Linked DNA regions of Caenorhabditis elegans. The protein of the gene in region 1 interacts with the protein of each later gene in a pairwise test. Each region holds a gene or a part of one and is shown on either strand. Other genes may lie near its edges.

The links.
Region 2: the proteins of fem-3 (region 1) and tra-2 interact in binary tests that used the Caenorhabditis elegans proteins (3 or more experiments, as listed by UniProt).
Region 3: the proteins of fem-3 (region 1) and fem-2 interact in a two-hybrid assay, tested with the Caenorhabditis elegans proteins (2 studies listed by BioGRID).

What each region holds. Positions count from the first base shown.
Region 1 is NC_003282.8:9,098,921-9,110,118, reverse strand, and holds fem-3 (Sex-determination protein fem-3), read right to left. Parts: upstream 5,154-11,198; 5' UTR 4,918-5,153; coding exon 4,847-4,917; intron 4,757-4,846; exon of another isoform or gene 4,749-4,756; coding exon 4,404-4,748; intron 4,359-4,403; coding exon 4,280-4,358; intron 3,909-4,279; coding exon 3,561-3,908; intron 3,479-3,560; coding exon 3,388-3,478; intron 3,008-3,387; coding exon 2,775-3,007; 3' UTR 2,512-2,774; downstream 1-2,511. Other genes in the region: aly-1 (Chromatin target of PRMT1 protein C-terminal domain-containing protein), read right to left, coding at 453-922, 972-1,173; C01F6.14 (Ovule protein), read left to right, coding at 5,998-6,222; gldi-10 (AMP-activated protein kinase glycogen-binding domain-containing protein), read right to left, coding at 8,559-8,812, 8,880-9,111, 9,159-9,284, 9,334-9,481, 9,569-10,063, 10,112-10,201, 10,578-10,689, 10,742-10,748; cpna-3 (VWFA domain-containing protein), read right to left, coding at 11,045-11,152. UniProt on the Caenorhabditis elegans protein: Required for male development. In XO (male) animals, fem-3 directs male differentiation in all tissues. In XX (hermaphrodite) animals, it specifies the first 80 or so germ cells to be sperm. Negatively regulates male development when bound to tra-2.
Region 2 is NC_003280.10:6,960,190-6,970,991, reverse strand, and holds the start of tra-2 (Sex-determining transformer protein 2), read left to right. Parts: upstream 1-5,318; coding exon 5,319-5,501; intron 5,502-5,675; coding exon 5,676-5,788; intron 5,789-5,838; coding exon 5,839-5,935; intron 5,936-5,985; coding exon 5,986-6,181; intron 6,182-6,236; coding exon 6,237-6,349; intron 6,350-6,404; coding exon 6,405-6,536; intron 6,537-6,590; coding exon 6,591-7,271; intron 7,272-7,320; coding exon 7,321-7,456; intron 7,457-7,514; coding exon 7,515-7,778; intron 7,779-7,829; coding exon 7,830-7,944; intron 7,945-8,003; coding exon 8,004-8,100; intron 8,101-8,152; coding exon 8,153-8,230; intron 8,231-8,275; coding exon 8,276-8,370; intron 8,371-8,415; coding exon 8,416-8,516; intron 8,517-8,564; coding exon 8,565-8,638; intron 8,639-8,800; coding exon 8,801-8,980; intron 8,981-9,324; coding exon 9,325-9,419; intron 9,420-10,802. Other genes in the region: putative very-long-chain enoyl-CoA reductase art-1, read left to right, coding at 1-116; C15F1.5 (RING-type domain-containing protein), read left to right, coding at 407-463, 511-639, 1,025-1,125, 1,175-1,301, 1,349-1,459, 1,505-1,798, 2,232-2,285, 2,645-2,761 and 2 more; eif-2Bgamma (Translation initiation factor eIF2B subunit gamma), read left to right, coding at 3,350-3,500, 3,552-3,715, 3,768-3,924, 3,975-4,167, 4,215-4,377, 4,427-4,537, 4,580-4,692, 4,861-4,964 and 1 more. UniProt on the Caenorhabditis elegans protein: Plays a major role in controlling sexual cell fates.
Region 3 is NC_003281.10:629,308-640,417, forward strand, and holds fem-2 (Protein phosphatase fem-2), read right to left. Parts: upstream 5,320-11,110; 5' UTR 5,266-5,319; coding exon 5,227-5,265; intron 5,173-5,226; coding exon 4,833-5,172; intron 4,422-4,832; coding exon 4,225-4,421; intron 4,175-4,224; coding exon 3,565-4,174; intron 3,266-3,564; coding exon 3,102-3,265; 3' UTR 2,712-3,101; downstream 1-2,711. Other genes in the region: T19C3.6 (uncharacterized protein), read right to left, coding at 1,081-1,245, 1,552-1,680; eakr-4 (EAK-4 Related), read right to left, coding at 5,586-5,933, 5,991-6,113, 6,174-6,233, 6,288-6,386, 6,735-6,860; sbds-1 (Ribosome maturation protein SBDS), read right to left, coding at 7,406-7,831, 8,392-8,463, 8,632-8,761, 8,969-9,102; tag-266 (Golgin subfamily A member 7/ERF4 domain-containing protein), read right to left, coding at 9,850-10,020, 10,471-10,681, 10,746-10,903. UniProt on the Caenorhabditis elegans protein: Dephosphorylates auto-phosphorylated Ca(2+)/calmodulin-dependent protein kinase unc-43/CAMKII in vitro. Involved in the regulation of sex determination.

The DNA.
Region 1 (11,198 bases):
GAAGCATAATAATCACATTTGAAACGGAAAGAAAACAGTTTTATGGGCACCATCAAATGACAAAAGAGATAAATAAATGAACGTTCGCATCCCTAATTGGCACTTCTTTTCAGTGTGTGTTTGATCACGTACCGCCTAAAAACGATTGAAATGGGCATTTCCATTTGACTGACGAAGGGATGATATGGGAACTAATATATTTCTATCGACACCTCCTTTTTTGGTTTGATTCATTTTAATGTTTTTTAAAAATAATTTTGAACAAATATAATAATGAAATTACTTTGTTTACGAGGAGATTTTAGCTTTACCGTTTGTTCGCCGTTCAATATGATTTCTTTTTAAATACACGAAACACGGGTGTTCTAGCTTTTGATGTTTTTATTAGGTACAAAATTATAAGTTATGAAAACATGAGAACAAACAAGTAAAATTTGGATTAAATTAAATTATTAGGCTTTTGACATATACACATCGAGCTCCGCATCCAACTCTTCGAGTGTCTTCTTTGGTTGAGCTTCTCTCTTTGGCTTCTTGGCCTTCAATTTCTTTTGAGCTCCAGCCCCTCCTGTTGGTTTTCCTGATTTAACATTCTGCCTTTTTGGTGCTCTTTGAGCTGGTCTTCCATTTGATGGAGCTCTTCTTGGAGCTTCTGGGAACTTGACACGGTTTGCAATATTTGCTGAATCAATGATAGCGAATTTGATCTCCTTTCCGTCGAGTGAGACTCCGGCAAACTTTTGGATGAGACGATCAGCGTGACGTTTTGGGAGAGTCACATCTCCGGTTCCTACTGGTTTTCCGTGCTCGTTGAAGTTCACGGAGACGTTTCGAATTTTGAATTCAGCGAAGAGTTGACGAAGGTCCCCGGAGTGAACGGTGTGGGCCAAGTTTGACAAGTTGATACGTACTTCACGGTTTTCTGGAAATGTTAACCATAACTTAAGAGCAAAATGGCATTTATAACTTACCATTTGCTGGAATAGATCTGTCAACTGTTCTGATTCCTCCACTTTGGCGTCTTGGTTGCGCAGTTGGTCTTCTTGATGGTCCAGCAGTTCCAGTGGAGAATCTCTTTTTAACTCCACCAACTGATGCTCTTTTGATTGGACTTTTCTTTGTTCTTCTGATTCCAGCGGAAAGTGGAGCATCGATAGCAATAGCACGAGCCATTTTGATAGAAGTTCTCTGAAATTTGATTCATAAATAATTGATTGAAGGCAATGAATGTAGAAAGCTGAGATGTAACATTGAAAGAGGGTGAGCAAATGGCAATAAGAGAACTAATATAGTCAATTGACTATTGTTGTACATAAATTAAAATAATGAAATGGAAAAGAGACCAAGTCGGCGGAATGAATGATTGACTCTGTGTGGGATATTCTCTGAGAATGGGGAAATAGGTAAACGCAGCGTTTGGAAGTGAAGACTTTTCAATCGATAGACTAGGTGGATGGAGTATCTGGAGATGGCTACTTGGAACTTCGGAGAAGATGGGAAAGGTCGTTTATCAAATTGGCAGAGATAGTATTATTTTAATTAGAATAGGTAGGTGACATCAAAAAATAAAACACAGAAATTACCAATTTGGGGGAGTTGTTGAAGATTGATTATTAAATTCGTAGTTTCTTTATAAAGTGCTCGATTCTTATCAAGAGGAACTTGGACATCAAAATTTAAAGATTGTAAATTATAAAGTTTAGAAAAATCTAGCCTGTATAATTTTTCTTAGTTTAGCAAAGCTTTAAAAATATATACAAAAGATTGGTAAAATGCGACTTACTTTAGAACTACAGAGAATTTCATATAACTATAATACATTGGAAAAGCAAAAAAAACCATAAATAAATGAAATATGTTATGACCATCTCGGTAAATGAATGATAGAATGAATTAATGCATATAGATCGAGCATCCATTAAAAACAGATCGTTGTTAAAAAGGCGGGACTGGTGCTGTGGAGGAAAGGGTGACGATCTTGGGATTGTTAAGAAAGTTGGCAGATGATGTATCGAATGGGAAAATACGAGTTTTCTAGCACACGCGAATATGTGTAATGTATATCAGTTGAATAGAAATTCAAATTATATTCATGTGGAATTGTATCGATATGTATCCTTTTCAGCATGACTTTTGTACTTTTTTATTCAGAATGACAAAAAAATATTAAAAATTGAAGGAAAGATGCTACATTATGAAATTGATGGTTATATTGGAAAAATATAACTTTCGAAATATTTTACCAATTGAGTCGTAGTAGACTAATTGCCAAATAGTGGGTTTTTTGTAGTTCGGCTTCTAGCAATGAGCAATAAACGTTAAATCAACTGAAAATTACACAAAAACTCGTAAAAGCAACTGGAACTCTTAGTGTTTCATTCGAAATGTTTCGAATGCCACACCCGTACACATTTGAATGAGTGTAAACCAACTGCGCACTCAACAGATGCTATTGTTTGTCTACCAGAGCGCACTTGCGTAGCGTCTAACCAATTGTAAGCAGCTTAATCGATATTATCTATACCTTTATTTTAAATTAAACAAATCTTAAAACAAATTAAAGTGATATGGAACCAGCTTTTTTTAGCAGTGTACCATTATGACATTTTTCAAAATGTAAACCAGAGGATTCGAAAGTGAATGACACAAGAAGCGTTAGTGAGATAGAAGGCAAATCGGTGATATTAAATAGGAAATCTGGGTAAAATATAGAGAGTTAGACTTTCAAATGAAATAATATTAAAATTAAAAGCAAATCATTATAACAATTGATATCATCGTTTCCTGGAGCAATCAGTAGCATAAACATTCATAATCCGAACATCATCAGAATAATGAACTTCATAGAAACGATTTTGATATTCTTCAATATCTTTTTTTCTTTTAATTGTTTCATAATAACCAGATACATCTAGAGGTGAGTAGCGAGAGATTTCAAACGGCGAAATTTGTAACTGTAGACGGGAAATTGAGAAATCATCAATTGCCAAGTCGAATATGATGTCTTCTGAAATTAGAACAAAACATAGTTGTGAAAGAAATTTTTTAATCGAAAAAGTTTCAGAATGGACTCTTTTTAAATGTGGAGAATTTAGTAATACCGAAAACGTGATTTTTTAAAAATTTTTGCTAACATCCGGGTTTGAATTCAATACAAAAAAATGCCAAAATCGAAAAAGCATGTTTTCAAACGATGGATTTTTTATGTCGATTTTTTGTCTTTCTGTTGTAGAATTTAGAAATTTGCGACTATGAAAACAAAAATTCCCTTTACGCTATTCGACTTTTGATGATTTTTTAAAGTTTCGCTTTAAAAAAATTGTGTTTTATATTTTGAAAAACATGTCATGTATATACTTTTAAATTATTTTAACAATAAATTCCTACCAACATTCTCCATGGCTAAACGATAGTGCTCAATACGTGGAAGCCCTCCAAATCCAGTTATGTCGCACCAAATCGTTGTGTGATATACAATCTACAAATGTAAAATAGTTTTTAACGCTTAAAAGCTTTAAATTAATATATGAGTACATAAATAACATTTTTAAAATGCTTACTTCCAAAATGCAGAGCTTCGCAAGCCAATCCAAAACCGTAATAATCTCATTTTCCAGTGGTGGCATTCCAAGTGCTTCATGAAATCTTCGAGCATAAAACTTTGAGAACTCTGTGCCACGTGGAACCACAAACGTAGTATGATACTTGGATTCATCTTCGTTCCAAAAATATTCGGGTGGATAAAAAGCGGCGATATTTTGAACAAGGCGTTGACCACGGGTAGCAGCGTAATTATACATTTGGGAATTGTTCCAAAACTGTGGCATTCCCGGAATATTGAAATAGAGTGTATGAAGAAGAGACGTGTAGTGATTGGAAAAGGCCGTACAATTCGGATCCGGATTGGGCTGGAATTAGGATTTTAAAAAAAGTAAAATACAAACGGAAATGCGCCGTTGAAGAGTACTGGAATTTCAAGATTTTGTTTTTGTTAAATTTTCACCGGTTTTTACATGTTTTCCTGATTTCTTAAAATCCCTGTTTTTTTTTGGTAATTGCGTAATTTTAGTTTTTTAATTAAAACAATTTTCCGAAAAACTAAGAAAATTCCGCAGCGACGAAAGTTTAAAATTACAGTACTTATTAAAGGCACACACCCGTTTTTATTTAACTAAAAATTGTCGTGTCGAGTCGGATATCCCTTTTTTGGTTCAAAAATCGAAAAAAAAATCGGGTAAGTAGAGCTTGTTTTAATTTATGATAAAACAAGGAAACTCACTAAAAATTGTCGAAAATACATGTAAAACCGAAATTCATCGCGATGAATCAAATCTTGCAACTCGAATCGAGTTATTTGACTGAAAATTAAAATTTTATTTTATAAAATTTCAGATTCGCCTCACACTTTCCCGTTCCGCCTTGCCAAATCATACATAAAATTGCAATAAGTTACAATTGTCTTCATTGTTCTTTGAAAAACGAATCGAGTAATTTCATCATTCCTTTCATATCCAGCACCGGCTGTTATTAATTGAATTGAAGTAATTTCAAGAAATCGATCAATTGAAAATTCATCCCAAGGATTTTGATCGAGAAGACTATCATCATAATACGTAGCTCCTGTCAATCGTTGTCTTTGTAAAGGAATTCCAGATATTAAAGGCCAATTGAGATCATCTACTGTTAAATTAGTCACTCCACAGTACTCGTCGAATCTTCTCATTTGTGCACGGAATTTGACATTTCTTCTGAAAACCTAGTTTTTGATCATTTTAGTTTGACTGGATGTGAATTAAAGAATTTAAAACAATTTCAACAAAAAAAAACATTAAAAAATTTAACTTACTTTAATTTTAGTTTCTGAGCTCTCGTTTCTCTGTCAGCTTCTACATCATCTGAACCCGGATCCACCTCCATTACAGTTACAATTGAAATAAATGGAAATCTCTCTTATTTTTACATTGAAATTTCTTGCTGGTCACTTCTTCCAATCCACCGTAGTTAACCGACTGGGTGGTCTACTACCCGTTTCTGGTTTTCTCTGCACTCTCTTCGGAGAGAGTGCAGACAAAATTCTCCGCGTTCGCAGTCCTGGTTCTGTTTCGAGACGTTGACGTCGCCCGACACCACTCCTACAACTGTTCGGACAGCGTCTGCAATTTTCGATTAGTAATATAGTTTTGGTTGTGAATATAATATAAATTGTGAAAAATTGCATTGAGAATTAGGAAAAGAGCATGTGAGAAGAGGAGGGGAATTTTTAGAATAACTGAGAATATAATTTAGAGAAACACGATTACTTCGCATCAATTCAGAATATCTTTTAAAATCTGAGAAATTTTGGTTAAAAAATAACACAGGGCGCTTAGTTTGTGGTTTTCTCAATTCTGTTTAATTTTTAAAACAGTAATTCTTATTTCGATAAACTAAAATGAATATGAAATTTTCTTACGATTAAAAAATGCATGAAACCAGATATAACAAATTGAAGGAAAACTGAAAAACTTCAGAAAGTGTTTTTTTCTGAAAATAAAAGCAGAAAAATTCGAAGCTCGCGCAAAGAACGTAAACGCGCTCCATTGCTAACTCATTTGAACATTAGTTTTTTTCATTGGGCTTTCAATCTTGTAAGTGATGTTTAGGCATCTAAAAGTTTTATAAATTGACAAAATCCAGCTTAAAAGATGCTATCAAAAACTAACTTTTCAGAATATTTATTTGGCTAATGTTTGACCCATACGTTTTTTGCCGAAAAGAATTTCAAAAATGAAAAGTATCTTGAAATGCATCAAAATCCGGGAATATTGCCGATGGTCAGTTTTTCAGCATTTCTAAATTGAGAGACTGAAATGGGAATTTATTTATTTTTATTCATCTGCTTTTTTATTTCATGAATATCCGCATCTGAAATCAGCTTTTTTTTTCAGGAAAATTGATTGAAAGAAGACAATAACAGCTCGTTGTTCAACATCTCGATTCTTCCATATGAATCGATGAATGGAAAAACCGTGGCATTTGGTAAAGTTTTGGCTGGAACCGAAGTTGTCTCCCGCATCGCCTTCAATAAATCAAACACGAAGGGTTCCAAGGCTTGCGTCATCACCGACTGTGGAGAAGTTATCTGAAAGGTTTTATCATAGATTTTCAAATTTTTTGGTTTATTATTATTTCTTTCTTTTTGTTCCGATAAGTCCATATATGAAATTTGTCCAGTTTTTATGAAAATAAACATTTATTTTATTTAATATTTTTTTATTCATCATATGCATGGGGGTTATCATCCTCGCTGTACTTCTGGCTTCGGCGACGGTGATCGCTTGGCTGCTCTACAAACACTTGAGAATGCGTCAAGCTTTGAAGGTTTGATTTCAAAATAAATTTATGAATAACTTCAATAAATTTTCAGCATCTCAATCAGCCACGATCATACCCAATCATCGGTCACGGACTCATCACCAAGCCAGATCCAGAGGGATTCATGAACCAAGTGATTGGAATGGGATATTTATATCCAGATCCACGAATGTGTCTTCTGTGGATTGGTCCATTCCCATGCCTGATGCTCTACTCTGGCGACCTTGTTGAAGCAATTTTCTCGTCGACGAAACATCTGAACAGGGTTCGCATACGTTTTGCTTGAACCATGGCTTGGAATCAGTATTTTGACGAGCCAGAAAGAACAATGGCGTCTTTTTTTGATTTTCTTTTATTGAAGATTTTGGTTCAGAAATTGTGTTGCCTTGGTGCAGAGTGAGAATTTCAATTTATAATTACTTATTTCAAATGTTTATTTTCAGTGAAAGAGTTGATGTTCTCTCCGTTATCGCCCTTTGTACTCTTGATATCATCTGCGAAACTTCCATGGGAATAGCTATCGGCGCTCAACTCGCTGAGGTTTGGGAAAACAACTCTAATCTCAACATTTCTAAATACTTTTTCAGAATAACGAGTATGTATGGGCAGTGCACACAATCAATAAACTGATTTCAAAGCGAACAAATAATCCTTTGATGTGGAATTCATTTATTTACAATTTGTACGGTAGTTTTATCATTAATAAGGTCAATTAATTTGTATTTTTAGAACAGAGGACGGACGGACGCATGAAAAATGTCTTCATATTTTCCATGATTTTACGAAGAAATTGATTGGCGAGAGAAAATAAGCACTACAGGAGAATGATTATAAGATGGAAGGTCGTCTCGCATTCCTGGATCTTCTTCTCGAAATGGTAAACAGTGGACAAATGGACGAAACAGATGTTCAAGCAGAAGGTAACACATTCATGTTAGAGGGTCACGATACAACATCTACAGGATTAATGTGGGCAGTTCATCTTCTGGGAAATCATCCCGACGTTCAGAGAAAAGTTCAAGCGGAACTGGATGAAGTAATGGGCGACGATGAAGATGTGACTATTGAACATCTCTCCAGAATGAAATATCTTGAATGTGCATTGAAAGAAGCTCTGCGTCTCTTTCCATCTGTTTTAATTATTACGAGAGAACTGAGTGATGATCAAGTAATTGGAGGCTTTAATATTCCAAAAGGAGTCACTTTTCTGCTCAACCTGTACCTTGTTCACCGCGATCCTGCTCAATGGAAGGATCCTGATGTTTTCGATCCGGATCGTTTCCATCCTGAAAACTCAATTGGTCGAAAATCATTCGCCTTTATCCCATTCTCAGCTGGAAGCCGTAATTGCATCGGTCAACGTTTTGCACTTATGGAAGAGAAGGTCATCATGGCTCATTTGTTGAGAAATTTCAATATAAAAGCTGTCGAGTTGATGCACGAGGTGAAAATTGAAAGCGCCGCTGATTGGGGAGACTTGCATTTTTTGTATGATTAAGCAATTTAAGCTGTATCCAATATATTGAAAATTATCGCGATGTCTATTTTCTCGCTGAAATGTTTCATTTTGCAATTTTAAATTGCTCTCATAAATAGGCACTATTGAAAATAGAATATAGAAAGTTTTACTTTTTATTTTGAATTTAAAAAATGTTTCTTCTAATGTAAAATTTTTTTCAGTCACAACAAAAGTAAACTTTTTCATATTACGTTTTTTTTTTGAAAGAAATTGTTAATTGCAAAATGAGAAAATTCTAGCGAAGAAATAGATAAATTACAATAGTTTTCAATTTTTTGGATAAAAAAAGCTTAATTAGCCTTTTTTATCCCCATTGGGGATTCCCCAATCGACGGTACTTTGAAAATATAACATGTAAAAATTAAATTTTAACTAAAATTGTTCAGGTCCGTCCAAAAATGGAGATCATCGTTCGCCCGGTCACTCCAATCCACATGAAGCTCACCAGACGCCGTCCCATCGCCTCTCCATGATTTCGAAATAATTTGGAAATTTGAAAATAGCCAGTTTTATAGTATTATTCGAGATTATGTTTTTATTGCATGATAAATTGGAAATTGCTTTTTTCAAGAGAAATCATCAACATGCAAAGGAAATGATCCATCCGGGTCATGAAGTATTATTCAAGTAAATAACATTTTTGAAAACTAAAATTTTTTACAAAACATTTATTACAAAAATTGGACTAATCAAAACGGTAGACATTAATGAGGTAATCATGCATTCCATCCGGCAATTCAATACAAACTTCGAACATCTTCAATTCATTTCTTTTCATCGGAATGTTCATATTCCAACCAAAAAATGAACCAGTCAATGTAACGGAATCTACAGTAGTCGGTTTTTCGTCTGTCCAACGGAACAACACCTTCTGTTGTCCACCTTTGACAAGGATGCTTCCACTGCATTCATTTTCAGATTCAGCAAATAAATGTGAATCTGGAAAAAAGACAATGAATCAAAAGCAAATTGTCTAAACCGTTCTATGGTGAAAAAAAGAACTGACCATCAATAACAATATCAGCATCTTGCTCATTTCCAACAGTCTGCTTTGCTCCTAGGTTTGGCTCACAGTGAGATGATGTTTCCGAGGCTTCTTGAACATCAGTCTCAATAAACGATGGTTCAATTTCAGCTAAACTAGACATGAGACTTTCTGTAACCATTGACATTTCCGAAAGATTCTCATCGGAAGTGGCTTCCAAAATATTAGAATCTCCAAGTTGGGCTTGGATAATCTAAAAAATCACGTCTCTGCATCAAAAAGTGAAAATGAATAACGAACATCTTGAATTTTCCCAAAAAAATCATTCGAAATACCGTGAAGATCCATTCCAGAGTCTTGCGGAGAAATGGCATCACATGCACCAGCATCCGTTCTATCTTCATCAAGATTTCTGCATCCAGCAATCTAAATTTAAACTCAGAAATGTATTTATAATTTAAAATATTGTGAATACCTGTTTCAAAACCCGTTCATTAATTTGATCACATTCCGAGTGTGAAGAGTTTGGAGCATTTGCAATATTCGAATCATCAGATCCAGTTGATTTACGATTCGATGGTTGAGTACTGTCAGTGTGGACATTTGGAGATGGTGCCATGGTTCTGAAGTTGAGAATTTCAAGGATTATTTGAAACTAAAACATATTAAAATATACAATACATAAAGCCTGTTGAAAAAGACAAACTTACGGTCGAATATTAAAATTGGAAGAAGCATCAAATTGAACTTCATCAAGTGTCATTGTCTGTGGACTCTTTTTAGTTTCTTTTTTAATTTTTTCCTTTCCACTTTCTTTCACTTTTTTGTCTTTTTCTAAACTTCCATTTATCTTTTTTCCTTTCTCTCCAATACAATGATCTCTATCCAATAAAATATCTTCTTCCGAATTCAAATTCGGCACGGCTACAGTACCCTCTGGAATAGTTTTTGGAATAACTGGTCGAATGAACACACAATTGACTGGCTCATTCATCGGAACTTTTTGACGAATCACATCCGGAGTTTTTGGAGTTTGAGGCGAAGATTTCTTGGATCCCATGTTTGTTGGTGATAGACATCTTGGAGTGGATACAGTACTCTGTTGCGGATCTTGGAGCATTGAAAGCATGAGTTTTCGAATTGAACGGTATCCAGCTTCAAGTGTGTAATAGAGACTCATAACTACAATGAGAACTGCAATTATTCTGAAAATTTTCAAGAATGGATAATTGATTGATCATGTAATAACTCACATTCCAACCATCGAATACCATGGTCGCTCCTCACTTCGCTCATACACGACAATGTGCGGAGCATCAGCAAAATGAAACATTTCAGAAATTCTGTAAAGATTCAAAATACGGATCAGTTCTCAAAAAGCAATTCAAAATAATACAGAGATATTACAGAAATTTTCGGATTTTCCACAAAAGTACGGTAGCCGGTCTCGACGCGACAAAATTTTGCTAACAACAGTAAGTTCAAGAGGAGTGTGCCTTTAAAGATAAGAGTACTGTAATTATTCGTCTAATTGCATATGAAAAATTAATAAAAGACGCAGCAACGAAGATCGGAAATTACAGTAATCTTTAAAGGTGCACATTATTTTGCCTCAAACATAAATGTGGTCGTGTCGAGACCGAGTACCGTTTTTGTGGAATGATATTTGCAAAATTTGGCATCTAGGTAATATTTTAATCGCAGATCACGAAAACTGACCTAGTTTTGAATGTTTTCTTCGCATAAGTGCATCCGAGAATCCACTGGAAAACCTTTTTAACTTCAGCTAAACCAAACCCAGAACTTCCGGATTCTTCGCTCTTTTCATTACCTGAACATTTACAAATGATTAAATCAAACTGGCAGCTTTCTGAAATGCTCACCAAACATGATATCGACCGTTTCTTTTTATTGGAAATGATGAGGAAAATGAGTACAACAAACCAGCGGATAAAATGTGAGAAATAAATGAATTCTATGAAAAATTGAACAATCTATGAAAAAAGCAAACATGATTAAAACCCGTGATTGAATAGGGGGAATTATAGGTTACTGGGTTACGTACATCTATATATATAATTTGAGCGTTACGAATTTTGGCACAAAATACATGAAAAATGATGAAAATTGCAAGAAAACAAAAATACAAATAGGAGAAGTGCAAGAAAATTTCGGATACATTTGTTTTATTTCGGATCAAAATGGAACATCCGTTTCCACTGAGCCATTTGAATCGGGATCATTGCTAACACATCACTAGATTCTAGGTCCGACGGATCTACGTAGCTATAGTTCTGAAAATATTGATTTTTGATCGGTCAGTTTGAAAAAGAGAGTTAC
Region 2 (10,802 bases), on another chromosome or scaffold:
CCACCGCTGGATTCGCTCAAATGGCAATCTGGGCCCAAGGAAAGCACCGCAACTACCTCAAGGAGTTCCCAGATTACCCAAAAAATCGCAAGGCCATCGTTCCATTTGTTCTCTAAATTATCGCATTTGCGCCGAATATTTATTGTATTTTTCATGTACTCTTGCAGTTCTATTATTACCAATCCGCTTATTTCAATCAGTAATTTATTAAATAGACAATTTCTCCAGATAAATGTTTGCTTGAAAAATGTTGCAAGTCTTGGTTGGTGAAAAAAAAGCGTTAATAAAAGAGAAAAAATGTTTAAATAAAAATAACGTGATATTGTTTTTTACATCGAAAATTTAAAATGTTCCCGACTTCAATGTAGAAAGAAGATTATTTCGAAATATTTCAAGTTATCCAAAGATGTCAATTTGGTGTGCAGTTTGCAATGATTTAAAACCATGTGAAGAAGCAACTCAAGTGAGATTATTGCATTATTCTCAGCCATACGGATTCAAATTTTCCAGTTGATTCCCTGTTTGCACACATTCTGCACAAAATGCCTCAAAAAATCAACCAAAAAGATGCGTGTCTGTCCAGTTGCACATTGTTACTCGAGTCTTACAGCTCCTGAACCAATGACAAGCACTTGCGAAGTTAGTAATTACAAAGATTCGAACTTTTATGACTTTTCCGCCAAAGATACGGTCTCGAAACGGCAATTTCGTTAATTTCAAGTTGGTGCGCGTCTTTGAAGGGTACTGTAGTCTTGTGAACTCTCGTTGCCACGGAATTTGAATCGAAATATTTTTCAATTGTTTCCGATAAAAAATGGATTCAAATTGTGAGAAAAACTATGAAAAATTGATCAAAATTCCCAAGAAACGAAAGTTTAAAATTACTCTTTAAAGGCGCACACCCTTTTGAATTGCATTTAACAAAATTAATCGTGTCGAGACCGGCTACCGTAATTTTTAGCACAAAAATCGAAAATTTTGCGGGTTAATAATATGAAAAACTATGGAAAATTGAGTTTTGCAGGGAGAAAACTGCCAGCGAAAGATCATGGGAAATGCTGAAATTCTGAGAACAGCATGCCATCACGACATATGTCAGCACTGTTATGATTTGGCAAGCAGAAAGTTAGAAATTTGAATGTTAAAAGCTTCATAATTCAATTTCCACTTTCAGAGAGAAATCTTGTTGCCCTGCTCTTGGTTGTGCTGAATTGATGATCGATGAAGAAGACATGATATGTGAAGGACCATGCAAGAAGGCACTCGTATTTGATAAGACAATCGTCATTCCATGTTGCGGGGTAATTTTAATTCTTAATTATAAGGAATAAAATCAAAACATTTCCAGGCAAGAATGTGTGATGTGTGTGGTCCGAAATGGACGAATGGACGGGATTTTTGTGAACTCGGCAAGTGTGTCAACAAAGAGTCAGCGAAAAGGAGAAAGTCGGCAGATGCGGTATAGTTTTTCGGCTCATTTAATTACACACGTCAATTAGTTCAGACCCGACAACCATGTATGGGATCACTACACTGTGAGGGTGAAGTTCTTCGAAACTTCCCTTCTGAATTGGAGTGTGACCATGATGTATGTATTAAATGCATCGGATCAATGCTTGACGAATGTGAGAAAAATGGAAAGTCACCGGCTTGTCCTGTTAAAACATGTGCAATTCCGTATCGATGTGAAAGCGTTTTGGCGTTGGATGCTCAGTTTCCAGAGAAGAAGGCGTTTTTCTCCAAGTTCACTCTTCAGGCAAAATTTTCGATGCAAACTTTGAAGGATGACATTGTAACGGTAGGTGTACTGGAGCTGGACGAGAAATTTTGCGCCAAACATACGGTGCACGGTCTTGGCACGATGAATTTTGTAGAATGGCTTTTCCGTTAATGGAAAAAGCCGTGCGTTTTTGAAGAGTACTGTAGTCTTAAACTTTCGAATTATTTTTCTTACCGGTCTTTAAAGACGTCTTTGTCATAGTTTTTTGATAACGGTATTAATGTTATTTTAAAAAACAAATATGATATTAATTAAAACACATAAATTTTAACGAATAGTGAGAGAAAACTATGGAATCAATAAATCAATTAAAAACTCCGCAAAAACAGAAGTTTGAAATTACAGTATCCACAGAAACTTGTCGTGTCAAGACCGGGTACTATACTTTAGCGCAAAAATCTCGCATCGTGGTTATAGGGGAATTAATTTAGACAAAGTTACAATTTTTCAGAACATAATCCATGGAGATCTAAACACAATGAATGGTCAAAAGTTTTCACTCAAGGCAAGTAAATATATTTCTCGTATTTACTAGGGTGGTCGTCTCGTTCTCTGCCACAACCCCGCCTACTTGCACGAGAAAGATGGGCAGCTGCGAAACCCGCGAGATGTCCGAACACAAATAAGCATAGGCCCCCCTTCACTATAGCTCATAAACTTACCTGGCTGGGGGTATCTCGTGATCATGAAGACGGGATCCCCATGGTGAGGCCTACCCATTGCACTTTTGGGCGGGCTGACCTGTGTGGCAGTCTCGAGTTGAGATTCGCCAACAGCTTAATTTTTGCGTATCGGGGCTGCGTGCGCGCGGCCCTGAAAAATATTAAAGTTTAGTGAATCTGAAAATAGGGAAGGAAATTTTAGATTGGCCAGTGTGATGACGACGATGGAGGAATGCCAATGGAGTTCGTTAGGGAAGGAACGCTCGGAGACCTGGTCAGGGAAACTCGTCGTGTTCTGAAAATTCTACCCACCGACAAAGTACGTTGACCCACTGATTCCAAGCGTCCAGTTATATTTTTTAGATCTACGGATACTATCGCATTGATGACAATAAGAAGTCGAAACTCGATGTGACAAAAGATACAATCCGATCTTCTTGTTCTTCTTTGAACATCAACGAGGTTCATTTTAAAACACCCTTGACTTCATTCTTCATTTTAATATTTACAGAACACTACTGTACTTGTCGATACCACGGGAATCGTGTCGAGACCAAAGAAACAATAGAATGAGCTCAATTAATTGATACTCAATTACGATTTGTCATTCTAATAAACAATATTTCTTCAAATAAATTCCTTTCCGATCTAAATACACATCTTATCGTTTCTTTCCTCCAGAATTCTGCAGAATTTATAATATACAACAAATCTTGCTAACGACAGTATACAACAAATCTGGCTAACGACACTCCGTAATAACGCATGCGCGTGTTGTTTAGCCCGTAAATATACAACAGTTATTTTTTAAACAAAAAAACAATTCCAGCAGAGTTGCAAGCTTTCTCTTTTTTTTCCTAACATTTTAAACATATTTTTTTCGTTCAAATAACAATTTCAGATAAAAATGCACGAAATGCAAGGGATACTTTTGTGTTCTGGAGGTGGCACACGCATGCCTGTCCTTACACGCCATGTTCAAAAATGCCTACTGCCTGTTGTCGGAGTGCCAATGTTCCTTTATCCACTTTCCTCGCTTCTAAGAACAGGAATTACTGGTAACATTGATTTTTTATCGTTAAATATGATTGAGTAATTAAACTTTTAAGATATCAAGATATTTGTTCGTGAAGTTCTTCAACTAACTCTCGAAAAAGAAGTAAAAAAGTCGAAGCTATTAGAAAAGTATCCAGCACATATTGAATATATTTGTGTCAATCAAGAGGATTTTGGAACCGCGGATCTATTGAAGAATCATCATTCTAAAATTACGGTAAGTCAATCAGCTGAAAAAGAAGTTACCTTAATAATTCTAATTTTTACAGAAAGATGCATTGATTGTTTCCTGTGATTTTATCAGCGATGCCAGTCTCATTCCACTTGTTGATTTCTTCCGAGCTACAAATTCCACGCTTGTCGCTCTTATTGCAGATACGTGTGTCAATGCTCCGGCTCCGGGATCAAAATCGAAAAAACCTAAAGGTATTATTTATTTCAACCTTCCTCTAATTTATCAAAATATTAATTTACAGCCACCGATGTAATGGCAATAGTAGAATCGACAGGTCAACTTGCATTCCTTTGCGGAGATGATGATTTTGATGCTCCATTGGTTATGGAGAAAAGTTTGAAAATATTCCCATCGATCAAATTAACTTCAAAGTACAATGATTGTCATGTTTATGCTATACGTCATAAAGTTCTTCTTAATCTGTCAAAATCAAAGTAAGTGTTTCTTTGAATGTGTTTTACTCTAAATGTATAATTTCTAGACACATTTCATCATTCAAAGCCGATTTTGTGCCTCTTCTGATTGATAAACAATTTGAACCGGATTCTGATATCAAATGCTTTGCATATCGTCTTCCTCATGAAAATGGATTTGTAACTGCACATGCGAATACTCTTGGCTCTTATTTCGAAGTGAATAAAGCTGTAAGTGCTAATAATGCATTATCATATAGCCTTTAAATTGTTTTTTTAGATTCAAAAATCTTTTACTCGATTGATGGAATATCGCGGAAATGGGAAGAATTTCAACTACAAAACTGATAAAATTGCTGCCCACGAGAGTCGGATCGAAGAAAGCGCAGAGGTAATACTTGTTCAAAAATAGTTAGGGAACATTTCCATTCAGATTGACAAGGATTCAGTTATCAAACGGTCTTTCATCTCGGATAATTGTCGGATTGGTGAAAAAACAAAGCTAAAAGAGAGTATCATTGCCAAAGGCGTTGTCATTGGAAATGGGTTAGTTTTGGGATTTTCGTAGCGCGAGAAGTTTCGGATGAGCTTTCGGAAAAGATATTTTCTTAATAAATAGACAAACATATGAAAACTTTCGATTTAAGAATTCTTCTGTTATCACAATTACTGATTTCTTGAATTAAAACTTGAATTTATACTTTTCCATTCCAGTGCCTCCATAAGCAACTCTATTATTTGTGATGGAGTAGAAATCGGAGAGAATGCTGACGTCACCAATTGCATTGTTGCTAAGGATCAGAAGGTACCTGCTAAAGGTTAGTTGTTTTCATTAGTGTTGTTTTTTTTTTAATTTCTCGTGTTTCTTTATAAATCAACGATTTTCAGGCAAAGTTCAAAACGAGGTAGTAGAAGATGGAGAAGACGAAGAATGGACCGATGATTAACAATCTTGGAATTTTAGGAATAATTGGAGCCTTTTTGTGTTTTCTCTTTTTTTTACGCGGTTGTTTTATTTTTGTTTTCTGATAAATTTATTGAAGATTAAGTTTTTTTGAAATTTTCGTTTTCCTCTATCTTTCACTCCAATGATAGGTTCTCTAACCCTACAAATTATTTTGAGTAATATTTTTATTTACGATATTATTTTACTAACAGATAATAATGGAACAATGAAATTGAAATACAATAAACTTCTCGTTTCGGTGGTGATTGTCACCTTTGTAACATTCGGGTTGCTCTTAGCGGAATGTTTTGGAAAATCAATTGATTATCAAGAAAAATCAATATTTCCATCGTTTGTCAGCCAGGGATTCTTCGAAACTCGTACGAACAATGAAGAATACATTATCGAGGTATAACCTTTTCAATTTGGAATTCAGATACTGAAAGTTTTTAAAATTTTAAAATGGCTATTTGAATTAGATGACAAGGTCTAAATATTTTTAACTTTAAGCTAAGTATGACATGATTTTGTGAACAAACAAATGTTTTTAAATTTTCAAACTATATAAATATAAATTTTCTAGAAAATCGCTCAAACCCAGGAGAATGGAGTAGATATGCGATCAACGTTACATTTCACTCAACATGGATACTTACTGAACAACATTTCAAATTTGAAAATTAAATTTCGCCAAAAGTGAGTTTATTTCATTCGTACTCTTCCATAAAACGTCCAACATATTTTAGAACATACACACTCAATGATGTCTGCTTTAAACCACATATTACAATATTCCAACAATCCTCTTCATCCGATCAAAACGAATATCCACATTATATCCAGGTTTTCTTGACTTTTAGAAAATTAAAATTTCATTAAAATAGTAATTTCAGAGGCTTCTTCTTGAAATGCAACGTCTGTCACCATGTCTTATCGTGACACCTCTAAACTGTTTCTATGATATCTACCGTATTCATGGTGAAATCAGTAATTGGAATAAGAATACCGACTTTTTGAATCGAAGACTTAGAAATTCTTATATTGAAGCTATTGGAGAAAATGATGAGAGGCCGTATGTGAAATCAAATTGTAATAAATCAAAATAAAAATATGTTAAAAAAAAAACAAATAAATATGTATTTAGATGGACCTAGCCTGATCAAAAGTTGGGCCGATCACATGTTTGATTTACCATCGAAGTCATTCACCAACTCAACTAAAGATGCATTATTTCAGAAGATTAAGCTTTGGCTTTTGGTAGGAATACATTTAATTATAATCTTCTTTTTTCAACAACCAACAAAATCTTCAGAGCATAGAACCACGCCAAAAAACATGTGCAGCTTCAATTCATTCCTGTGACACACCTCTGGACTCTGAACACTACTTCAATATATGTACAGATATGCAGTCTGTTGATAATTTCGCTGAAAAGAAGACAAAGGTATTAATATATGCATAACCACGCAATTACTGAAAAAAAAAAGAAAAATTGCAGTTCAAATTAGAAGATGTCGATGAAGAATTCGCAATGAATCTCGATTGTGTGGATGATCAAGAACAGTTCATTGAATGGATGCAGGAGTTGGAGATCAGAAAAATGTATTCTCATGTAACTGAAAAGCCAGATTATCCAAATGTTGTAAATCAAACATGCGATAAGATTTTTCATGATTTGAATAGCACTGGAATTGAATTTTTCGACGGATCGAGAAGCTTCAGTAGTACAAAATCTCAATTTGATACAATGCAAACGGAAATTGTCCTGTTAACTCCTGAAATGCTCTTATCAGCTATGCAACATTCAGACTTTGTGAATGGTTTTGAATCAATTTGGACTATTGAAAAAGCTGAAGAACTTATTCATGAATTCCGATTAGCCTTGAAAGAAGAAACTGAGAAGTTCAAAGAGAATAGAATGAGCAAAATGATAAGAGTTACATCACGAGTTTTGGATAATACTGTAACTACGAAACTTCAATCATTTTCGGAGAAACAAACAATACATTTTGTGGTTAATGTACATTCATTAATTGTGATCTTATTCACAATCTTCGTATGGTCTGGTGCTCCTCTCAGATCAGCTTTCATGTTTTTTGTTCGAGATGCTCTCACGTGTTTACTTTTCTGTTTTGTCTGCAGTACCGATGGAGTTATCGTTTTGGATACGGAATTAATAGTAAGCTTATAAATGAAATAATAGTTAAATGTATAAAGATATATTTCAGAAGTATATAATTGTCCTTACATTGGCTAATCTCTACTTCACAACTCGTTCTTCATTCTGTACTGAACGACTATCCCGATGTATTCAACGAGAAAAACGGTTTCCCATAAACTCAAATTTTGCTTCTCTTATTACAGGTATGCCTTAAAATTTTTTTGTATTTTTTTAAATTTAAAATTTGATATCTAATTTCAGTTGACACAATGACTGATTCTCGTCAAATACAATACTTCCTTAGTACTGTAACAAAGTATCAAGCAGCCCAAGACTCATATTCAAATGAATTATTTGAAAGGTTCCCGAAGAATTGGGGTTGCACATCAATTCTGATATTTCCAATCGTTTTCGTCTATTGGTATTTCATTGATTCTAATTTTGACAAGATTTGTGTTTCTGTTCTACCATCATTTTGTTTGGCTGCTGGTGAAGAGCTTTTTGCTAAGAATATGTTTTGGAAAGGTATTTAAAAATTAAGGTTCGAGATTTTAAAACTGAAAATGCTATTTTTAGAGCGTGAAGCAATGCAAGCAAAGCAACGACTGGAAAATGAAGAACAGGCTGAAAGTATTACTGGAAGCTCCCTTGAAAAACTGTTTGCTGGTAATAAACCGGTTTCTAACACAGAGTGAGTGATCAGAATTGCCATGAAATTACCGAAAAAATCTAAATTTTTAATATTTTCAGCAAAGCTAATATTGTCAAAAAATCAAGCATCATCAGAAATCAAAAACCTTGTCTCCAAGATCTTTCACCCGGTACCTACGATGTTTCGAATTTCATGGTAAACCATTGTACAAGAAACATATTCATTCTCGTAGTTAAATTAATTACAGAAGTATCCACATCAAGCATCCAGAATATTCCGGGAAAAGATCATTGGATTATATCTTAGGATTCTGAAATTGAGAACAGTAGGTTTTCTTAATTGCGAAATCTTTTGAATGTATTTTTTCCAGCTCGGTGTGATTTTATGCATTCCTGCGATTCTTCTAATTGTGATATCAATTGGATTGCTGTTTATTCCAGTTAAAAGAGAAACACTTCATACAGAGTATGGTCTAATTTTTAGTATAAAAATATAATTGTGCTCTTATAGTTCGAAGCAAGACGACATATTCATTGAGTTCGAGATTTTCAATTTTTCTACTAATTGGAAGATAGTCAACCAAAATCTGAAGCAGTTCAGTGAGGACATTGGTGAGAGTTAAATATTTGAATATTCTATAAATTGTTCTACTTTTTCAGAAAGTATTGGAACACTTTATACAATTTCGAATTGGCAGAAGAGTTTCGAACGATTTGAACAAGAAACTAATAAGGTAATTCTTTCCAAAAGAAGATTTGACAACGAAAAAAGTGCGAAAAGTAGGATTAAGTGCGTGTAGACTGTTTGGAACATTTTTCGTCTTTTCGTCTCCCATGATTGTCTTTCGAAGAAAAAAAACGGGAGAGGTTACTGTATTCTTTCTACTTTTTTTCAGAATGCTTCTGCAGAATGGAATATATTGTTCAAATGGATAAATGATGAACCGATCAATTCAGCAGTGACTTTATTTTCGGAAAAATCATCTGGAAATCAAACAATTGCAAATCCATTTAAGTTTCGTCTACGCTATGGGTTTGATGCGAAAAATGAGACAACTGTGATAGAAATTGTTCAGGTGAGATTTTACTCAAAATTTGTGATTTTGGCATTAAAAATACTGTATCTGGTCTCACTGCGAAGTTTTTTTAATGCAAAGGGGCGTGCGCCATCAAAGAGTACTGTAATTTCCGAATAAACTAAATTAATTTCCAAAATAATTAAATTTCAAAGAAAAATGTTTTACGAAGCAATGAAAATTCAACAGGTTCGAAAAGTTGGAAATTACAGTACTCTCTAAAGGCACAGACCTTTTGGCATTCAACAAAAATTGTCCTGTTGAGACCAGGTACAGTAGTTTTTTAACGAACATTCGCAATTGGTAAATAACTAATGTATCAATTCCCATGAAAGTGTTTTCAGAAAATCGATGAATTGCTCTCCAAATGCTCGAAAAACCTTTCACCAAAAGCAGTCGGTGTCCTCTACGAGCATTATCATCGAATCGCAGTTGTCTGGTGAGTCTCAGTCGGCCACAATCGAATTGTGTCCTTTTTAATTTAATTTTCAAAGCCTGGAGGCAGGCATTTTCTGTGTAACAAGAATTACTCCTTTTTTCGAAACGTTCTGCTTTTACACAAATTGGCCACCAGTGTCTTACTGTAGGTCCATCTTCTTATCGAATTCAAACTAATTATTTGGCATCCAAATAATTCATGTTATCAAGAGTTTTCTTCTCGTTTTGGCATTTTAGGAGCAGCATTTTTGTTTCCGAAAATTTACCGCCACCCAGTTAGCATGTACTGATTAATTTCCAACAGCAGAAAGTTTAAGTTTTGAGATTTTTAAGTGCTTTTTCTATTTCTGAAACTTTTCTTAGATATCCTCTCCTAAAGTGCATTCATTTTCTCTATTTTTTCTCATTAATCGCGTATTTTAATCATTTCTCTGAGAAAAAGTTCAAATGCACTTTATCGGAAGTTGCTCATCAAAATCCGACACCTCTTCCCAGCACTTGCTCTTTTTGCTTATGTGTGTGCGTGTGAGTCGAAAGCTGCTAAGAAGACGTGAGCCTATGTGCTCCGGGCGGTCCTCCTAGTCGCGCCGGCGCCACCACCGAGTTCGCGAAAGTAAGAAGACGACGAAAACCAAAAGAAAAAGGACAAAAAATAGGATGAAAATGAAATAGAAAGGACGGAAGAGATAACAGAAACAAATGATTGATTGACAGGGACAAATAGACAGACTTCTGTTCGAAAATCTTTGGGTTGAGGGAGGTCAGAAAAACAAATATCTGGAGCTCAATGAATCAGCGCGGCGTTCTTCAAGATTTGGATCTGAATCTGAATATCCAGAACCTACCCACCCGCGTCATAATCTTTCTGATCTTAAACCTGGGTTCCTGCTCACTCAAAATGTATAACCTAGATCGTGCATTTTGCAAATTTTCTTTGAAACAATTTTGACAATAGATTTTTATTTATATTCTAATGGAATTCTGATCTCAAAATATTTGTAGAGTTTTTGTTTTTCTAAATATTATTTCTAGCATTACATAACCCAGCGCCACATATACGGTATCCGGTCTCGACACGATAATATTTTGTTAAATACAAAAAGTGTGTGCATTTAAAGATTACTGCAGTTTCAAACTTTCAAAATCGAATAAAAAACTGACATTTTATTCGATATCCATAATTTTTTCTCACAATTTCTTGAAATTCATCTTCTGTTCATCTCCAATGTCTATCGTGACAAAAATCCAGAAAAGTTCAGTTCTATGATTAATCCTTTTTCTCAAGTGATTAACATGCCAATGTGCGAAAGTTCTCTAAATCCCCAGAACTTTGAAGTTCCATTTTTTTCTGAAAACTTTGAGACTTGTTCCACAGAATCTAAAC
Region 3 (11,110 bases), on another chromosome or scaffold:
CCCAAAAAGGAGACGTACAGTTGAGGGCTATATCTTGTACACAGACAGATGTATAGAAAAAAACAAGTTTTGGCCTGAAAATTAATAAAATGAATATCTCTTGGCAGAGTATTTCTAATGCGACGAAACTTCATCTTCCATTAAATAAAATCAAAAACTATGAATCAAAAATACATTCCGCAAAACTTTAGTGGAAAAAATGTTCAGGAGACCCAGGAAACCACTCCCCCCAGTACTAAATTTTTGAATTATTTTTTTCTTGAAAAATTTTCCCACTGAACTTTTTACAAATTTTATATGTCTCGATGCGTCTTGATGAGACCTACACGTCATTTTTTAGAAAACTAAGAAAAATTGAAAACTGACCGAGTTATGATTGAAAAAGTAGATTCGCAAAAATGGCAAAGTGTGCAAAATTTGGCACTTATTCGTCTTGCTCGGCCGACTCATAGAACTTTTTCCAATTCTGAGTTAAAAATCGTGTTCAGCGTACTTTTGTACGTGGGGTAAACAAAAAAAATATCAAAAAAGATGAAGTAGAACTTGAGATAAAGACGAAAAACTACTTTTTCGGAAAAAAATTTTTTTTTGGCAAAATGTCATTTTTTGGCCATTTGTTTTATCACAACTTTTTTCCATTTGCACTTATAATCTCAAACTTTTTTTCAAAAAATCCACCTCTCTGAGTAGTATCTTGCACATAAATTTGGAACAAAACCGAGCAAAACCCGAATTTTAATTCAATTAAAACATGGTTTTTTGGGGGTAAAAAGAACAACAAAAATTTTTTTCAAACTGGGGAAAGCCGCCCTGAGCTCAGTTTTGCTCCAAACTTTGTGCAGTTTTTTGCTCCACCGTGGGGCAAAATATTTCTAGTAAGCTGTCAAATATTATAAAATTCAGTCAAACGGCTCTGGAGTTATTAATGAAAACGTAGTGTGACATTTTTTCGCAAGCCAAAAAAAACGCGAAAAAACGCGAAAAAGGGGCGGAGTCTGTACACTCGGCATTTATTAGAGGCTGCTTGGCAGAATTTCTAAACAAAAACCTTTAAAAAATCAATATTACATTCCAACTAACCCGTATCTTGTGATTCATTGAGGCTTCGGTCTGCTTCTCCCTCTCAATTCTAGCCAAACATGTTTTCATAGCCTTGCATTCAGCGAATATACTTTTCATAGTGTCTTTCATGGCGAATCTTGCGTAGGATTCGAACGTGTCGAATATATTCTCCCCAACACGGATCTGGAAAGCTACAAAAAATTCGAAGACAAAAAACTATTTTTTTCTTTTAATTCGACACTTAACTGATGAAGGAGGGCGTTGTCAGAGTCCCATTTCGGTTTGATCTACGCAGATCTACAAAAATGCGGGAGTTGAGACGCAGAGTTCTAAAATGATTTCGCATGGTCAGGAACGTGCTGACGTCACATTTTTCTGGGCGAAAAATTCCCGCATTTTTTGTAGATCAAACCGTAATGGGACAGCCTGGCACCATGTGTGGTAGGCTTGGTGTAGGCATAGCATTAAAATCATAAAAAATCATCTCACCTCGGTAATCTCATCCAAGTCATTGTAGTCGAACTCTACACCCATAAATTTGCACAAATGCTTCTTGGTAACCGAATTTTGGAGCAAACGATACTCTCGCCGTCCCAGAATACTTGTAACCAATCCCATCGCAGAAAATCGAGTGAAAATGAGAAAAAAAAAGTGAAGTCGACCAAATTTTATATGCGCCTCTAATTGTTTTTCTCAGAATTTGGCAGGGGGTGTCGTATATGAATTTGGATACTGTACAAAATTGGGTGAAAAATTATAAATATGCCGTTTTTGTGCATCTTCTAATTGTTATTGTCTACATGACTAGAAATTGTGATGAATAGAAAAAAAAGGGAACAATTTAATAATAATTCAGATTTTTAAAGGGTTATATGTATATCTTCCTAATAGTAAGTTCATTTTAATATATCATTTTTATAAATTAAAGTTATTCGACGCAAAAAACGGCGAAAATCGAGGCTTAAACTGCAAAAACAATTATTCGAAATGCTCTGTGACGTCACAAAATTTCAAAAAATATTTTCACGCTTTTCTGGCGCAGTAGAGCGATGGGACAGTCTGGCGCCACATGTCGGTGAACATTGGGTTACTGTAGCTCCAAAAGTATGTAAGTACTGTGGCAACACCAAATTTGACGACAAAATGCTGAAAATTTGTAAAATCACCAATGACGCTAAATTAGAATTTCGTATCGAAAATTTAAAAAAAATCAAATTTTGTAAAATTCCACCATAAAAAAAAATTAAATTCAAAATTTTTTGGACCAAATCTTTTTTCCTTAAAACGCGCCCAAACCTGGCTAAACTGCAATTATCAGTAGAGCGCGTTTACACTGATGTACCCTTTGCCGGGCCGTGTTTCAGCTAAATTCTGCTTTCTTTGTTAATAGAGCGCATTTGCTGTAAGCGGGAAATTTGAAATTCCCTCTTGAAAATATGACTTTTTTAATCATTTTTTCGCGGTGTTTTCGAGCTTTTCTTTCGAAAAATCCCGGATTTTCAATTGAAAAGGAGATTTTCTACTGAAAATGACTGGTATACTCCGATTTTTTACATTTTTCACGAGTTGAAAAGTTTACAGTCATTTATGAAAATTCAGTGTTCAAAAAGTGTCTCAAAAACCTATTCAGCTACTCAATATCCCAGTAATTCCACGTCATTATACAATTTATATCATAAAATAAATTCAAATCAAATATATGTTCAAGTGGAGGAGGAGAAGGAAAGTACTCGGATTTTTGGTGGGATGCCAACTGGTTGGAAACGTATGTAAATGTGAAATGCTACAGGAACACCGAGAACAAAATATGTGTGTGGGTCACGGAAAGCTGCTAGATAACGGGGAGAAATGACGACGATATGGTGAATAGGAGAGAGAAAATTGGAATACCCAAAAAACAAATAGACACAGGAAAACAGGGGAAAATTTGATAAAATCGACCGAAAATTAGGAAAAAAAACGACAAAAATTTGAGAAAATCAACCGAAGTTTAGCAAGAATTTTCCCAATTTTCAGGCAAAATTTCCACCGAAAAGCAGTTATTCCTCATCAGTGACATCGGAATCTTCATCGTCTGATTCATGTTTCATAAGCTTCCACACATCCTGCGGTGGACGCAAAAAGCCAATCACAACAGACACGTTGTCGGCACTTCCAGCCTCAATCGCTTTTGTACAGATGAAACGGGAGAGCTCCGCGTAGTCTGAAAAAATTTTTTTTCGATTTTTAAAGAATTTTCTACATTAAAAAATAAAGTAACGTCGGCTAATGTTTTTTACCTTAAAAATAATTTTGAATGGTTTTTTTAAAAATTGATTTTTTCAAATTTTAGTAAATTACCCGATTTTCTTTTTTAAAAATACAATAATTCGAAAATCTTTACTTTTTTTTTTGAAAACCCCCGAAAAATAGCCAATCTTCTGATTTTTTTTCAGAAAAAAAAAACGAAAAAATAGTTTTTGGCTTTGGAAATTTAGTTTTTCTCCAAGAATTTTTATTAACCTTCAACAGGATAATCATTCGCAAATGCCTCCACCAACTGGTACAGGTCACGCTCGTTGAAAACATCAGAAATTCCATCACAAGCCAGGAGCACCAGATAATCCGAGCTTTCAATAGGCACCTGACACGTTTCCGGTTCATTAGAGATCATCGGCCGTCCAGGAACATCTCCGAGTGCTCGGGTGAGATTTAGAACTCCGTTCACCCGCAATTCGCCTCCAATCACAAAAAGCTGGCCGCCAGCTTCCTCAACACGCCGAGCTTCCCGTTCATCGGATGGCGAGTGTCCACGTGTCAACTGACGGAATTCAATGTTCGACATGACGTATCCGGGTGAGTCACCGAGCCACGCCAGCGCCATAAGCTTCTGATCCATGTCGATTGCACAGCAGACAGCTGTACTTCCACCCTTCCAACACTCTTTCACACTTCTGACAGTCATTCGTTCGTCGAGAAGCTCCAGCGACTTGCGAAGCTGATCTTCGAGGCTATCTGAAGGATCTCGCGATTTTCGAACCTCCAACCATGTCTCCCAAAGGTGCCCGGCTGCGTACTGAGAGCACTCGTGACCACCGTGACCATCGAACACCGCTAACACCGAAATTGGATCCTAAAAATTTCATTTTTCAGTAATTTTCCAGGCCTAAAATCCTCCTAAACCTCTCCACGATCCATATATTGCCCATTAGGATACGCCAAAAACCGATCTTCTTGCTTGTGACGTTGCCCTTTCAGTTGATCGCCCGACACGTGGATTCCAGACCACTTTTCAGACAGAATCGGGCACGTTTCGGCGTTTTGCTGGAGAATCTTGTCGATCGCCGGCCAAATTTTGTCGTTGAATAGCTTTTTGGCTTCTGAAAATAAGTTGTATTGATGAACAGAAGTGTTGAGTTTTTGAAGATTTTTTAAAAATTCTATTTAACAAGTTTTATTTTTGCAAAAATTAGCAGATCAATGGGGAATGGCCAGCTAAAAATATTTAGCAGACCAATGAGGATAGGTCTGCTAAATATTTAGCAGACTCATGGTAGGTATGCTAAATATTTAGCAGACCCATAGGTGGTCTGCTAAATAATTAGCAGACCCATAGTTGGTCTGCTAAATAATTAGCAGACCAATGGGGATGGGTCTGCTAAATATTTAGCAGACCCAAGTTAGGTATGCTAAATATTTAGCAGACCAATGGGGATAGGCCTGCTGAATATTTAGCAGGCCCATGCTTGGTCTGCTAAATTAATAGCAGATTTTGCACATTTAATAATTACCTGTGGTACTATCGGTAACATAAATATCAGGATTATACTGAACATCTCTGAACGCAACTTCACTGAATTTCTCGTCAATTTCTGTGGCGATCAAGTGAGACACCCAGTGACAAAAGTCGACCGCCTGGCCTCTTTTCATCATTTTCTGGAAAATGTCGTGAATCGCGTCTCCGAAAACATCATGAACTGGTCCGGCGATTGGTGGATGACGGAAACGTATTGGAATATGCGGTTGTGGAGTGTCGGCAACCTCGACGTCATAGCTAGTTTTCTCCATTTCATCTGCAAATGCCTCCTCCAGAAGTGACCGGACACTTCGACGGCGATCGCCGATGTGATCCTGGAATATACATTTTTCTAACTAGCATTAAATATATAAAATCCCGTTTTCTACCTCGAAAACCGCATCCCGCTCCTCGTTTACTTTTTCCATGTATTTTTCCAGTTTTAAAACCACTACCGGCTTCGGTGGGACAGCTGGGTTGATCTGACATTTCAATAATTGTTTTTAACATAAAAATCAGAGAAAAACCGAGAAAAAACAATGGATTTCAACACAAAATGAGGAAAAATCAACAAAAAAATAATGCAGAATTTTCTGCACCAGAAACGCGCAAAGCTTCTCGTTTGCGCACTTTCGGTGCGTTGGCGCGTTTCTCGCGCGAAATATTAATTTAATTCGCATTGTATTGTATTAATAACATTTTTATCAAATCAAAAATGGATCAAAAATTTAAAATAAAAATCAATTATTCATATATATCCATGCGCGCCAAGATAATCCCACTCCACATTCGGCGTCTGTACTTGGCTGTCCAAAAGATCCCATTCCTTCACTTTCGCCCTCTCCGCCCAATTACATGCTTCATATTTGTGGATATATGTCTCCTTGAAATGCTCCCATAGCTCATTTGCCACGCGATACTGAAACTCCACGTGGCATCGGAATTCAGCGGGGTCGGCTCTAAGCTTGGGTAGCGAGTTGTAAGCTTGAACTGCGGCATTTTTTCTCAACTGGGCGTACTTATCGATTTTCCACGTGGTTAGTAAGAAGAAGTCCTTGTAAAGAATAAGAAGAGTATCGATGATTTCACCGGTTTCCTGGAAAAATCGCAGATTTTTCTTGAGTTAACTCAAACGCCATTGAAGGCCGCCTACCTCATCCTCAGCACCCAAATTCTGAAGTTCCCTGCATTTTCTCCGAATCTCGTACAACGTTTTTTTATACTTGTCGCGAACCTCGTTGTTCTCTACTTCAATGACTCGTTGTCCGGCGGGAAGCTGAATTCATTAATTCAGTTCTTGATAAATGTAATTTTGAAAAAAATATGTTTAAAAAACCTCGGCAACGTCAATTCTACCGTTATTCGAGAGGGTGATCGGTGTGCGCTTGTAGATTTCCTAAAAATTTATAAATTTGAGAAAATCCGTGCCCGTGATTAAGAATATTCTCACCTCAAAAATATCCGGTTTTTTGATAATCTCGTTACTTTTCGAGTAAAGTACACAGGGGCGTTCAACATTTTCCTCCTCGGGATTCACAGAGATTTTGACCTGAAAATTTCTTGAGCTTAGGTATAGGCATACGTTTAGGTATTGTCAAAGGCATAGACTTAGAAATTGGCATAGACTTAGGCGTAGGCTTTGGCTGAGGCCTAGGCTGAGTCTTAGGCTTTGGCTGAGTCTTAGGCTTAGGTGTGAGCTTAGTCTTAGGCTAACCTTTAGGCTTAAGCTTAGGTGTAGGCTTAGGTTTAGGCCTAGGCTTATGCGTAGGCTTAGGCTTGTGTCTCCAGGCATAGGCTTAGGTTTAGACTTAAGCTTAGATTTGTTTTTTTTTTCGAAGGTTTCTCAGCAAAAAAGATTGAAAACATAAGACTCTGAAAAAAAAACGAAAAATATTACCTTTGGGTCCCGTTCAGCAATACGTGGGCTCTCTTTCACCGCAACTGGGCCTGCCAGCTGATAGACGCTGGAAATATTATCTGTAGCTGAATCTACAGTGCACAGGGTTCCAAGACATTGCCCCATTATCGGTTGTGACAGGGAAATAGAGGATTACTTGGCGAAGGCTCAACTTGGTAGGCCGCCTAATTTACAGTACCCCACGACTGCCTTGTTTTCGACTAGTCCGGGTTATTTTTAAATTTTGTTGGAAAAACAACAAGAAAATTGTACAATTTCATGAATTTCGCTGGCCTGGTGAGTACTGTAAATTATGCAAAGTGATGGAAAATAAATATTGAACGAATTTTTTTCGAGCCGGGGAAACTTAGAGAATTAGTTTTCTAGCCTTCAAATCATGTTCCTGGGGTTTTTTTCCAAATTGTTTTTCTCAAAAATTTGTAAGATTAACACTTTTCATTTAAAAGCAATAATGATTTCTGAAAACCTGACACAAAAAGTTTTTGGTAACTGGGAAAAAACATGGGAACGTTGATGATAACAATTTGAGATCCAAAAAGAATTCTCGGGTGTGTGGAGGGGAAAAAAAGAAAAACACTCAAAAATGTCTGCACATTTTGAGTGCAAAAGAGCAAAAAAGCAACAAAAAAATAAAATTTTTAACATGAAATTTAAGAAATCTGCAATTCTCCTTCGACGACATCCTTCAAGCTGAGAATCTCCAATCTTCCGTGTCCCTTCGTCTCATTTCGGACCAAATCGTCCAAAGCTCTGAACGATCCGGGCTCAATGAGCCCAACCATCTCGAGGCTTCCATCCTGCCAATCGTCAACTTCCACGTCACTGAATAGGGTTTTAAGCTTCGTGTGCACGGATTTCGCTTCTTTTGTCGGAATCGCCACACGGATCTTCATCTTGGCTCGTTCGATTTTCAGAGTTTCACGAAGTTTTGGAATTGCGTCGAGAGCCTGCTGCTTTGAGGAACGATTCGGTTTCAGGGAAAAGTGCATTTCTTGTAGAGCTTTATCGATTACTGACGGTGGAACTGGACGCTTCGTTTCAGGATTTACGACCATTGAGGCAATCAGCTGGGATACCTGGAAAATTGAGATTTTTCAGGATTTTTTTGAAGAAAAATTAAAAATTTTCAGGAACTTGTTTGGGAGAAAATTAAGATTTTTTAGGAATTTTTAGAAAAAATTGGGATTTTTCAGGAATTTTTTTGGAGGAAAATTGAAATTTTTTAGGAATTTTTTAGGAATTTTTTAGAGGAAAATTGAGATTTTTCAGGAATTTTTTTGGATGAAAATTCACATTTTTCAAGAATTTTTTTATATAAAAATTGAGATTTTTAAAGGATTTTTTTTTTGGAGGAAAATTAAGATTTATCAGGAATTTTTTTTGAAGGAAAATTGAGATTTTTCAGGAATTTTTTGGATGAAAAATTACATTTTTCAGGAATTTTTTTGACGAAAATTGAGATTTTTCAGGATTTTTTTTGAAGAAAAATTGAGATTTTTCAGGATTTTTTTTGGAGGAAAATTTACATTTTTCAGGAGAAAAAAACTACCTAATTTTTTAAAAATTTAAAGAAAAAAACAGGTTTTTAGCCTGGAATCTAAAATTTTTTCATTTTTTGCTACGTGGCAAGTTGTACCTCTTTCAGCGATTGATCTGAAGCCGCCTGACGCTCTTTTTCCGACACTTGCAAGTCTCCTTTGTCGAGAATCTGAAATTTAGGAAATATTGTCTTTTTCTACCTATTTTGAATAAATTTATTCAACTTTTTAGATGACAAATAACACTAATTACACCAAATTTTAGGCCAAAATGTTTTTTAATCTGAAAAAAAAACTTTAAAATTTCTTTTTTTCCAGAAAATCCAAGTTTTCCTTACAATTTTACAAATTTCCAACTGATCCTCGATTCCAAAAGCGGCGATAAGCTCCTCTTTCTTGGAAAGTTGTCCTTTTGAGACATTTGAGAAGACTGTATGGGTTTGGAGCACCTCGTCAATGTCTTTTTCGCTGAAAATTTTTTTAGATTTTTGGGAAATTGTTTAAATTGATTTTTGATATGGTAAATATTAATTCCAAAAAATAATATTTGAACAAAATTATTCAAAAGGTTAATTTAGAAACAACTGTTTTTTTATTTATCACTGAGAAAATGGTTTGAGAATTAAAATTTTCAGATTTCTATATGATTTTTTTAAAAATTAATATATATTTTACCTCTTATTTCTCCAATTAACAACTTTATTCTTGTAACAAGCGATTTCAAATCGTTTTCCGGTTTTCTTCATTCGAACCACTGCCACATTGGTCAGAACTTTCTGATTTGTCGGCGTTTTGATATTTTTTGACATTTTTTTTCGGCTGAAATTTTAAGAGATTTTGGCATTTTTAATTTTAAAACAAAAGAGACCATTTTGAGATATAAAAATAGATTTGAAACTACTTTTTTTTCAAATGTCGAAAAAAAATTTTAATCTAAATTTTCATTTTAACGGAGAATCTGAATTTTTTTAAACTTTAAAGTCGATAAATCAAATAAAAAAGAGATAAAACCAGTCGTTGAGGTGAGAAGAATGGGTGTTTTTCGGGGTCGTAGCGTCGAAAAAACGAAAAATCGGATTCGAATTTAGTTAAAATTGGGTCTAAATGACTGAAAATTCGGTATATAAGAATAATTGGAAAATTTTCGATAAAATTCAAATTTTCTGAGATTCAAAAAAATTCGAAAAAGCTCACATTAGTTTCAGAAATGAGAATTTTCATGTTTTTTTTCGGAAAAGTAGATATATTTTTCAAAATTTTAAAGAATTTCAGTATATTTGATATTTTCCGAATAATTTTCAAGCCAATTTTCAGTCATTTAAGCCTGGTAGACTAGATTCGATTTGAAAAAAAAAAAAACTAAAAACCCTGAATAAAGCATTGGGGGAAGTGGTGGTGGTGATGACAATCGGGAAATATATACAAAAATAGACAGAAATACGGAAAAATCAGGTCAAATGGAAGAACAAAAAAAGTACAAATTTGTTTGGAAACAGTGGGCGAAAATGCGAAATTTTTCGAAAAATGTGCAAAATTTCGCAATTTCCGGATGGGGACTAATCGGGAAGATTTAAGGCGGGTTTAGGCAAAGTTTTCAATTCGAGCACATATTCGGTCAGGCGGTCTGAGGGCTCCGTTGGGCGCCGAGCCAGGGACCAGTGGAGGCCCAATTTGTGATAAAGGCTAACATTCTCGTGGTCCAGACATTTTTCCAGCGCTAAGACGGTCTGAAAATTGGGGAATTTAAGAGAAAATTTAACTGAAAACTGGGCTGTGTCGATTTACGGGGATTTTATCTAGATTTTTTCAGTTCTTTTGGTTAAAAAAAAAAATTACAGGCTTTTCACGGCACAATTTTTCTAGATTTTTCGAGTTTCTGGCGGTTTCTTTCCACATTTTTAGTGGTTTTCAGTTGGTTTTCTTACCTTAAATCAAAGTGTTTCAAACATTTCAAACTAAACAGTTCATAACTGCCATTGCCTGCTAAATATTTAGCAGACCAACTGTGGGTCTGCTAAATATTTAGCAGACCAACTATGGGTCTGCTAAATATTAAGCAGACCCATTCAAAGTGTCTCAAACCACTTTTCAGATGAATTTTATTGGAAAATCGGCGAAAAAATCCTCGTAAATCAACACGGAGCCGAATTATCTCGCCTAATTTTTCGAATTCTTACCCTCCGATTCAGACATAACACCGGCCACATTGAGCATCCAATTGAGCAACAGCAAAACGCTAATCCACATAAAAGCCAGCGCGATGACGTTTGTACGTGGCGTTTGAGCACAGAATTTACGCGAGACAGTGTCGCCGAGAGTTCTTCTGGAGCAATATATCCGGTTAGTTCGGGCGGATATTCCGTGTTGAAACGGGAATTCATGCCAAATCTGAAGGAAAATTCGATGATTTTTTTTGATAAATATAGCTTTTTTTCTCTTAAAAACCACCTACACTGTGATATTTCCAACTCCACGAATCACGACGGGTTCCTTCTCCTTTGGAATGTATATTGGCTCGGATTCCTCGTCACTACTCGGCATCACGTCTATTTCTGGCTCTTCGCCGTCACTGGAAACCGACGCCGATGGGGCTGGTGAGCCATGTGACATTTTTTATGAATTTTCTCTGGAAAAATGTAGGATATTTTAGGGGTTTGGTGTTAATTTTGATGTGAGGAAGCGGCTGAAGTTGAAAATGTTTTAGAAAATTCATAAAAAATGAGAAAAATGCCGGAAAATTAACAGTGAGCCGTCTGGAAAATAGAGAAAAAAGAAAATCAATAGAAATTGAGAACTCAAGGAGACCACGCTCTCTCT